Linked DNA regions of Schizosaccharomyces pombe. The gene in region 1 interacts genetically with each later gene. Each region holds a gene or a part of one and is shown on either strand. Other genes may lie near its edges.

Region 1 (3,757 bases):
AACCATAACCAAGATACTTCGATAATTTTCCGCTTAGTCGCCTCACAAATAGGTTAGTGCAATCTTTTTTCAAAACCCTCACACTTTGTAGAAACTCAAGAAAATGTCCTTTGATAGAAAAGATATTGGTATTAAGGGCCTCGTGTTGTACACTCCCAATCAGGTATGTTATAAATGAGTCGCTACTTTATTTCAAAACTTCTCCTCCAAATTATTTGCATGCATTACCTACATCTTTTTTCAATAGTACAAATTTACGCAAGCTTCAGAGGAAAGTAATAGAAATACTTTCTCATTAAATTCCTTCAGAACCTGATATTAATCGTTTTTACCCTATAGTATGTTGAACAAGCTGCCCTCGAAGCGCATGATGGAGTCTCTACTGGAAAGTATACTATTGGCCTCGGCTTGACTAAGATGGCTTTTGTCGACGATCGTGAAGACATTTATTCCTTTGGTCTTACCGCTCTTTCTCAACTTATCAAGAGATACCAAATTGATATAAGCAAGATTGGTCGTTTGGAAGTTGGAACTGAGACTATCATCGATAAATCTAAGTCTGTCAAAAGTGTTTTAATGCAACTTTTTGGGGATAACCACAATGTCGAAGGTATTGATTGTGTTAATGCCTGTTATGGTGGCGTGAACGCTCTTTTTAACACAATCGATTGGATTGAGTCTTCTGCTTGGGATGGCCGTGATGGTATAGTTGTCGCTGGTGATATTGCTCTCTATGCCAAGGGCAATGCTCGTCCTACCGGTGGTGCTGGTTGTGTCGCCCTTTTGGTTGGTCCTAATGCCCCTATTGTTTTTGAACCTGGTCTACGTGGTACTTACATGCAACATGCTTACGATTTTTACAAACCCGATTTGACGAGTGAATACCCTTACGTTGATGGCCATTTTTCTCTTGAATGTTATGTTAAAGCTCTTGATGGAGCATATGCTAATTACAATGTTCGTGATGTTGCTAAGAATGGAAAAAGTCAAGGACTTGGATTGGATCGTTTTGATTATTGCATTTTCCACGCTCCTACTTGCAAACAAGTCCAAAAAGCATATGCGCGTTTATTGTACACCGATAGCGCTGCTGAACCATCTAATCCCGAGTTGGAAGGTGTCCGTGAACTTCTTAGCACCCTGGATGCTAAGAAATCCCTTACCGACAAGGCTTTAGAAAAAGGTCTTATGGCCATAACTAAAGAGCGTTTTAACAAACGAGTTTCCCCTAGTGTCTATGCCCCTACCAACTGTGGTAATATGTACACTGCCAGTATTTTCTCTTGTTTAACTGCATTACTTAGCCGTGTCCCCGCTGATGAACTTAAAGGAAAACGCGTCGGTGCTTACTCTTATGGTTCTGGTTTGGCTGCCTCGTTTTTTTCATTCGTTGTCAAAGGCGACGTCTCTGAAATTGCCAAGAAAACTAACTTGGTTAACGATTTGGATAATCGTCATTGTTTAACCCCTACGCAGTATGAAGAGGCTATTGAGCTACGCCATCAAGCACACTTGAAAAAGAATTTTACTCCCAAAGGAAGCATCGAACGTCTTCGTTCAGGTACTTACTACCTTACTGGTATTGATGACATGTTCCGCCGTAGCTATTCGGTGAAGCCTTAAATCACCGAAAAAAAGATTAGAATGCAAACTAGATACTGTTAAAATCTCTTTTAGTAGACTTTTTTTTGATACATGAATATGTGATTTTGACAACTTTTTTGTTAATTATTTAAAACTCATACGTATTGTAGTCTTAAAATGAATAACCTTCATTTGTAATAGCATAACCTAAATAATTAGAGTAAATTCGTCACTAACGGACAGTATCTTGAATTAAACTACTTACACCTAAAAACCCCCCACTCATCTTGATAACCCACATTTTCTTTGTCTGAGTAACAGCTACTCTCCACTAACATAGCCGAAAAATTGTGTGCAGTTACTTTATCTAGTTTGAGATCGAATGCTGAGTAGGTAGTCATCAGAAGTCTCAATGGACGTAAATGTGGGATTATCTAGACTTCAATCTCAAGCTGGGGCACCTGTTGGCACGAAAGGGTCGAACACTCGTTTAGCAGCCAAACAAAGAGAAACCCTTCAAGCATATGATTATTTGTGTAGGGTTGATGAAGCAAAAAAATGGATAGAAGAATGCCTCGGCACAGATCTAGGACCAACGTCTACATTTGAGCAGTCGCTGCGAAACGGAGTTGTCTTGGCTCTCTTGGTTCAGAAATTTCAACCCGATAAACTAATCAAGATATTCTATTCTAATGAACTCCAGTTTCGCCATTCAGATAACATTAATAAGTTTCTTGACTTTATCCATGGCATTGGGCTTCCCGAAATTTTTCATTTCGAACTGACTGACATTTACGAAGGGAAAAATTTACCCAAAGTTATCTATTGTATTCATGCCCTTTCTTATTTCCTTTCTATGCAGGACTTGGCACCCCCTTTAATCAAGAGTGATGAAAATCTATCTTTTACTGATGAAGACGTTTCAATAATAGTCCGTAGACTCCGACAATCTAATGTAATCCTTCCTAACTTCAAAGCTTTAAGTGCCGATTTTATGCTTCGTGCTAGTCCTGTTTCTTCTCGCACTCCTTCCCCTACACGATTTCCCAAGCATGCTCGTTTCCAAACCCTAAATTCATCAGATTCTGCATCTATATATTCGTCTCCTTATACTTCTCCTACTTTAGAATTTTCGAAGAAAGATGCTAGCGCTCGTTCAGACATCCTTAAGATGCACAGAAGGACGAAATCAGCGACACCTTCGTTAGAACAATTTAATGAACCATATAAACAAACTTTGCCTAGTCATTCAATCGAATTCGAAGACTCTTTTTTTCAACCCCCTTCTCAAAAGGGACATATGCAACGATCTTTCCTCACAACATTTTCAGCACCCACAAGAAGACGGGAGGCACTATTTTCTACCACTTCTGGACTTAGTCAGCGTAGCCCTGTCGATGAGAAAATCGTGAACGCGATTCAAGCTTGTGGTCGTGGCGTACTTGTGCGCTTGCGTTTGGTGGATATGTTACAATCCCTCGTGGAACAAAGTTCTTCTGTCGTACTTCTGCAAGCCGTAATTCGTGGATATATATCTAGAAATACATACAGAATACGAAAGAAAGCATACGATGAACTTGTAAACTGGGTTACTTCTATTCAATCCATCTCTCGTGCATATCTGATACGTGCACAATACCGTAAAGTGGTTTTACAGGAGGAGGCAACGAAGTCAATCCAAACGTTACAAAGCATTATTCGTGGGGGTTTCTATCGTCGTAAATACCACTCGTTAATAGAGAGGCTAGACTTATTTACACCATCATTTGTGTTAATTCAATCCTCAGCTTTAGGATTTCTTACCCGTCATGCAATAGTTAATATGCTTGACAACCTTTACAACTATATCCCTCTCTTTAACCGGATGCAAAGTATACTGCGTGCAAATATGTTTCGGAATGAATGGTCTAACTTTCTAGATTCCGTACAATCGTTTCCCGTTTCTTTTCACTCTATTTGCAAAGGACGCTTGATAAGGGATTCTATAAACAGATTAAATGGATCACTTCTGGGAGAACTGGATAATTTTATTAAACTACAAAATTTATCTCGAGGATTTATGATTCGTCGGGCATTTAAAGAGAAATTGGAGAAATTAAAAGCATCAACATCCTCTTTCATTGCTCTACAGGCAATTGTTCGGGCTTTTCTTTTAAGAAAAAACTTGGAAAGC
Region 2 (3,757 bases), 2.4 Mb from region 1:
CACTCAGCTTTGTGAACGCAGAACAACTAATATATACGATATCCTTATTTAGTTTTCGTAGTGAATACATATTAAGGGCGAGGCTCTTTTTCACCGACATATATTTAATTTAAAGAAATTTTTATTGTAGATACTAGTTTATGATTTTTGGAAGACTACAAGTAGTAAAATTAAAACTTACCTAACTATTTTAAAACTACATTTTCGTAGTCCATTTAGAAATTATGTATACCTTAATTAGCTACTACATAGTAAGATTGCTCAGTATTGATTTTGTTTACCAAGCTTTTCATCGTTCATTCTTTTTTTTAGCCGATTTCATGCATCATCTTCGAGAGTATCTAAATTAAATGTTTAAATCCACCCACAAATTATTTTTATTTGTAAGATATTAATCAATTGGACATTTGCAATAAAATTATCTATTTATGTGCTGATTTTACATTCGTTAAAACATATAATGTAGTTCATGGTCGTGTTATTAATCACTTTAGACAGTTTAGCGAGTTGGCGTCTTTATGAAATCCGCGTCGCCAGATATTAAGCCGTTCTTGGCATCATAATAATGGCTAAACTTTTTTATTAATTACTTTTATTGAAATTTTTTGAATTCAAATGCCAAGGTTCTTTAAAATTTAGAGATTAAGTAGTACATAAAGAAACGCGAACTCTCGATTCATCATGTGGTCAAAGTTATCGATTTCTTCAAAAATTAATCGTATTCGCGACCCTGAAAGCGATAATACGATTGAAGATACTCACGTTGCTCGTGTAATGAGAAAATACTATATGGACAAAATTGGGACATTACCTGAATGGCTTCGTCCTCCTGGATGGCAGCCTCCAGTTAACACAGGACCTACTTCCCCAGTTAGCATAAATGCAAGTAATGCGGCTCCTTCAAATTTAAAAGCTTCATATATTCCGGCCAATCCTAGGAGGCTATCGTCCTCCACTTCCTCTGCTTCGTCTCCCCCTTTACGACGATTACCTTCTGTTCAACATAGTACCTTTGACGATTTGTTTGAAGGTGTCGGAAGTCTTCAAAAATCACCTTCCACCACGAAACCTCTTTCCTCTACACCTTCCGGCTCATTGCTACGGTCAAAATTTGATCACACTAGAAAGAAGTTTTAGTTGACACAACGATACCTTTACTTTACTCTCATTGGTATCTGTTAATGGCGTATTAATGATCAAAACGACTTTTTGTTTCTTTGAAAATGCTGTTACTACGTATGTGTTATTCTCAACCTCGTTTGTTAATAACTAAGCCCATCTTACCCAGAAGTTCGACATTTGTCAGTACAGAGGCATAATTACTTATTTTACAACTTTGAGTTAGCTCACCTTTTCTGGTTTTTCCTTTAGTAATTATTTTTGGAATGACCTGACAATAAGGTGCACTATCCTAAGCAACTCGCCTTTAGTTTGAGAACTATCATTTAGTCTAATTAAATAACCATCACATGTTCTTTATGTTTCTAACCGGATTGTAGCTTTAAAAATTAAACTGTTCAAAAAGCGCTTGGTAGAATTAAAGCTAGTAGCTGAAATCAATTCAACATTATAAAAACTTATCGTTACATACAGCGCATCGTATAGGTTTCTTTAATTTCTAACTCGAACACTTAGGGACGAATTGTGAAAATTCGTTATTGTAATTTAATATGGTATGTAAATAAAAGCACCAATGGATTCGTTCTTGTGATTCTCGTTTATTTGCAAATTTCTGGTTATATTTAGCTCAACGTGACAACAAAATATGTTACGAATGCTTTGTAAGTAAAAATGATCTTCACGAATGTATTTTCTCATTGAACAACGTTTTAAGCAACCAGAAACCGCATCCAAATGCAGACTAGACTTACAAGACGAGAATTTCGATTATCCTAAAAATAAAATTTAATACGCTATAACGCAATTTAACCATTATAATATTAGATATATCGAAGTTTCATTTCCTTTCAACTTACTTGTTCGCAAGTATACGTATTATCTTAGATCATTTAAGCCATCCCAACCCTTACTCGCTAAGTGTTCCACTTTATCCAAATTTGAAGGTCAACAAGTTCTGAACATCAACTTTTAGCAAATTTAAAAAAAAGGTTTAATTGAGCTAAAACTTTTCATCACAGTTTCCTTGTTAATACTTGAAAACAAGATCCTGAAAGCAATTACAATGCTGCATTCGTTTATGAAGTAGAGATGCGAAATTCGTCAAAGGGACAGGACCCTAATTTTTCTTATGACTCTATTCTGTCTACTCCAACTCCATCAGCCAGAAGAACTATTGGGCCAAGGGCTCCTAAGTCCAAAACAACGTACCATAAACCTCCATCATCCATAGAATCAGTATCGACGTTAATCCAGCCTAATAAGTCCCAATCAGTTACTTCTCCGTATGTAAAGCAATTTACCTTTTCATCGAAAGAGTACAATTCTCATAATAAACATGCTTTGCAAAATTCCCAGCTTCCTTTACCTAAAACACCCGAGAAATCTACTGTCCATCGACCCAAAGCGAATAAAGTTGAAGTCACTGATCTACCATCTTCGTCTTCCGTTGAACATTTGCACACTTCTAAACATCTCAAGGGTCCTAGGTTGCCCAAAAACATTATTAAAAGTTCTGAGGATGTCCAAATTGCTCCAGTGACACCCCCTGTACATTCTCGCTCTTTTGATCCTTTGCCGAAACCTCCTGTTCCCTCAGTTCCAGTATCTAAGACAAAAAGGCGAACTAAGCATAAACTTGCTCCTGTTGTTGAAGTCCCTGAGATTACCAACGAGGTTTCCCCAAAATTCACTTCTACTAATGATGAACAAGTTTATCGACTACGTTCAATTCGAGCTGGGAGCCCTAATTCGGTATGCTCGTTTCAGTTTGAAATTCCGAGTACTCGACCACCTTCATTGGATCAGCTAATACATCTATTCAACGATTTTTTAAGACACCCTGTATTTGATTTTGACGAAAACGCCATTGAAATGCTTCAAAGTTGTACTCCAGATGAAAAGTGGTGTTTTATTCGTTCTAACTTCGCCGGGTTTGATGATCCTTCTTTCCAAATTCCAGAATTAGCTGCCGTCCATAGACCTGTTTCCTGGTTCGTAATCCAACTATGGAATAAAACAATTAGTAATTTACAACTTATCACACTTTCTTCTTTATTATCAACTCAATCCGATCGATGGATATCTCTTTTTCTTGAACTGCAGGGACTTCGAGCTTTGCATAATCTACTTACATATTTTAATTCGTCTGCCGTAGTGCAGCCTCAGCAAGCTGAAGTTCCTCGTTGCATGCTTACTCTTTTGAAGAAAAAACCTACTCTGGTTACTTCCAATTCTTATATATTTCAAGCAATAACAGTGACCCTTATATCCCCAAATTTGCTTCCGAGGAAAGTAGCCGCAGATTTATTGACATGGGTTCTGTCTTTAAAGGAACCTCTTGTGGTCTCCATATTGGAAACTGGATTTAAAGAAATAAATGCCGAATATGAAAAGGAGGTTCCGCTATTCTTTGGATGGATAAAATCTTTCAAAGACATAATCTTGGAAAAAGAATTAGCACGAACCCCTCCATCTTCTCCTGCTCGAAATTCTGCTTCCAGCTCACCTTCAAACATAGCGTTTCTTGAGTATTGTACTTCCACTATGGAATTTATCAATCAGCTAATTGTTGCTTGCGAAGAATTGGAGCAAGGATTTGACCTTGATATATTGGATTCCCTTCGTGAATCAGGTATAC

Evidence for each region. Genes that interact genetically often act in the same process or in processes that back each other up.
Region 2: mutations in rng2 (region 1) and cdc12 are lethal when combined (synthetic lethality), as found in Schizosaccharomyces pombe (4 studies listed by BioGRID, with this or other methods).

Annotation. Positions count from the first base shown.
Region 1 is NC_003424.3:2,643,521-2,647,277, forward strand, and holds the start of rng2 (IQ motif containing GTPase activating protein), read left to right. Parts: upstream 1-1,907; 5' UTR 1,908-1,996; coding exon 1,997-3,757. Other genes in the region: hcs1 (3-hydroxy-3-methylglutaryl-CoA synthase), read left to right, coding at 104-163, 340-1,623. UniProt on the Schizosaccharomyces pombe protein: Component of the contractile F-actin ring; required for its construction following assembly of F-actin at the division site.
Region 2 is NC_003424.3:281,268-285,024, forward strand, and holds the start of cdc12 (cytokinetic formin Cdc12), read left to right. Parts: upstream 1-2,076; 5' UTR 2,077-2,208; coding exon 2,209-3,757. Other genes in the region: exocytic docking protein Mso1, read left to right, coding at 682-1,137. UniProt on the Schizosaccharomyces pombe protein: Plays a role in the cell cycle. Involved in cytokinesis. Component of the cell division ring. In the absence of profilin, caps the barbed end of actin filaments, thus preventing subunit addition and dissociation.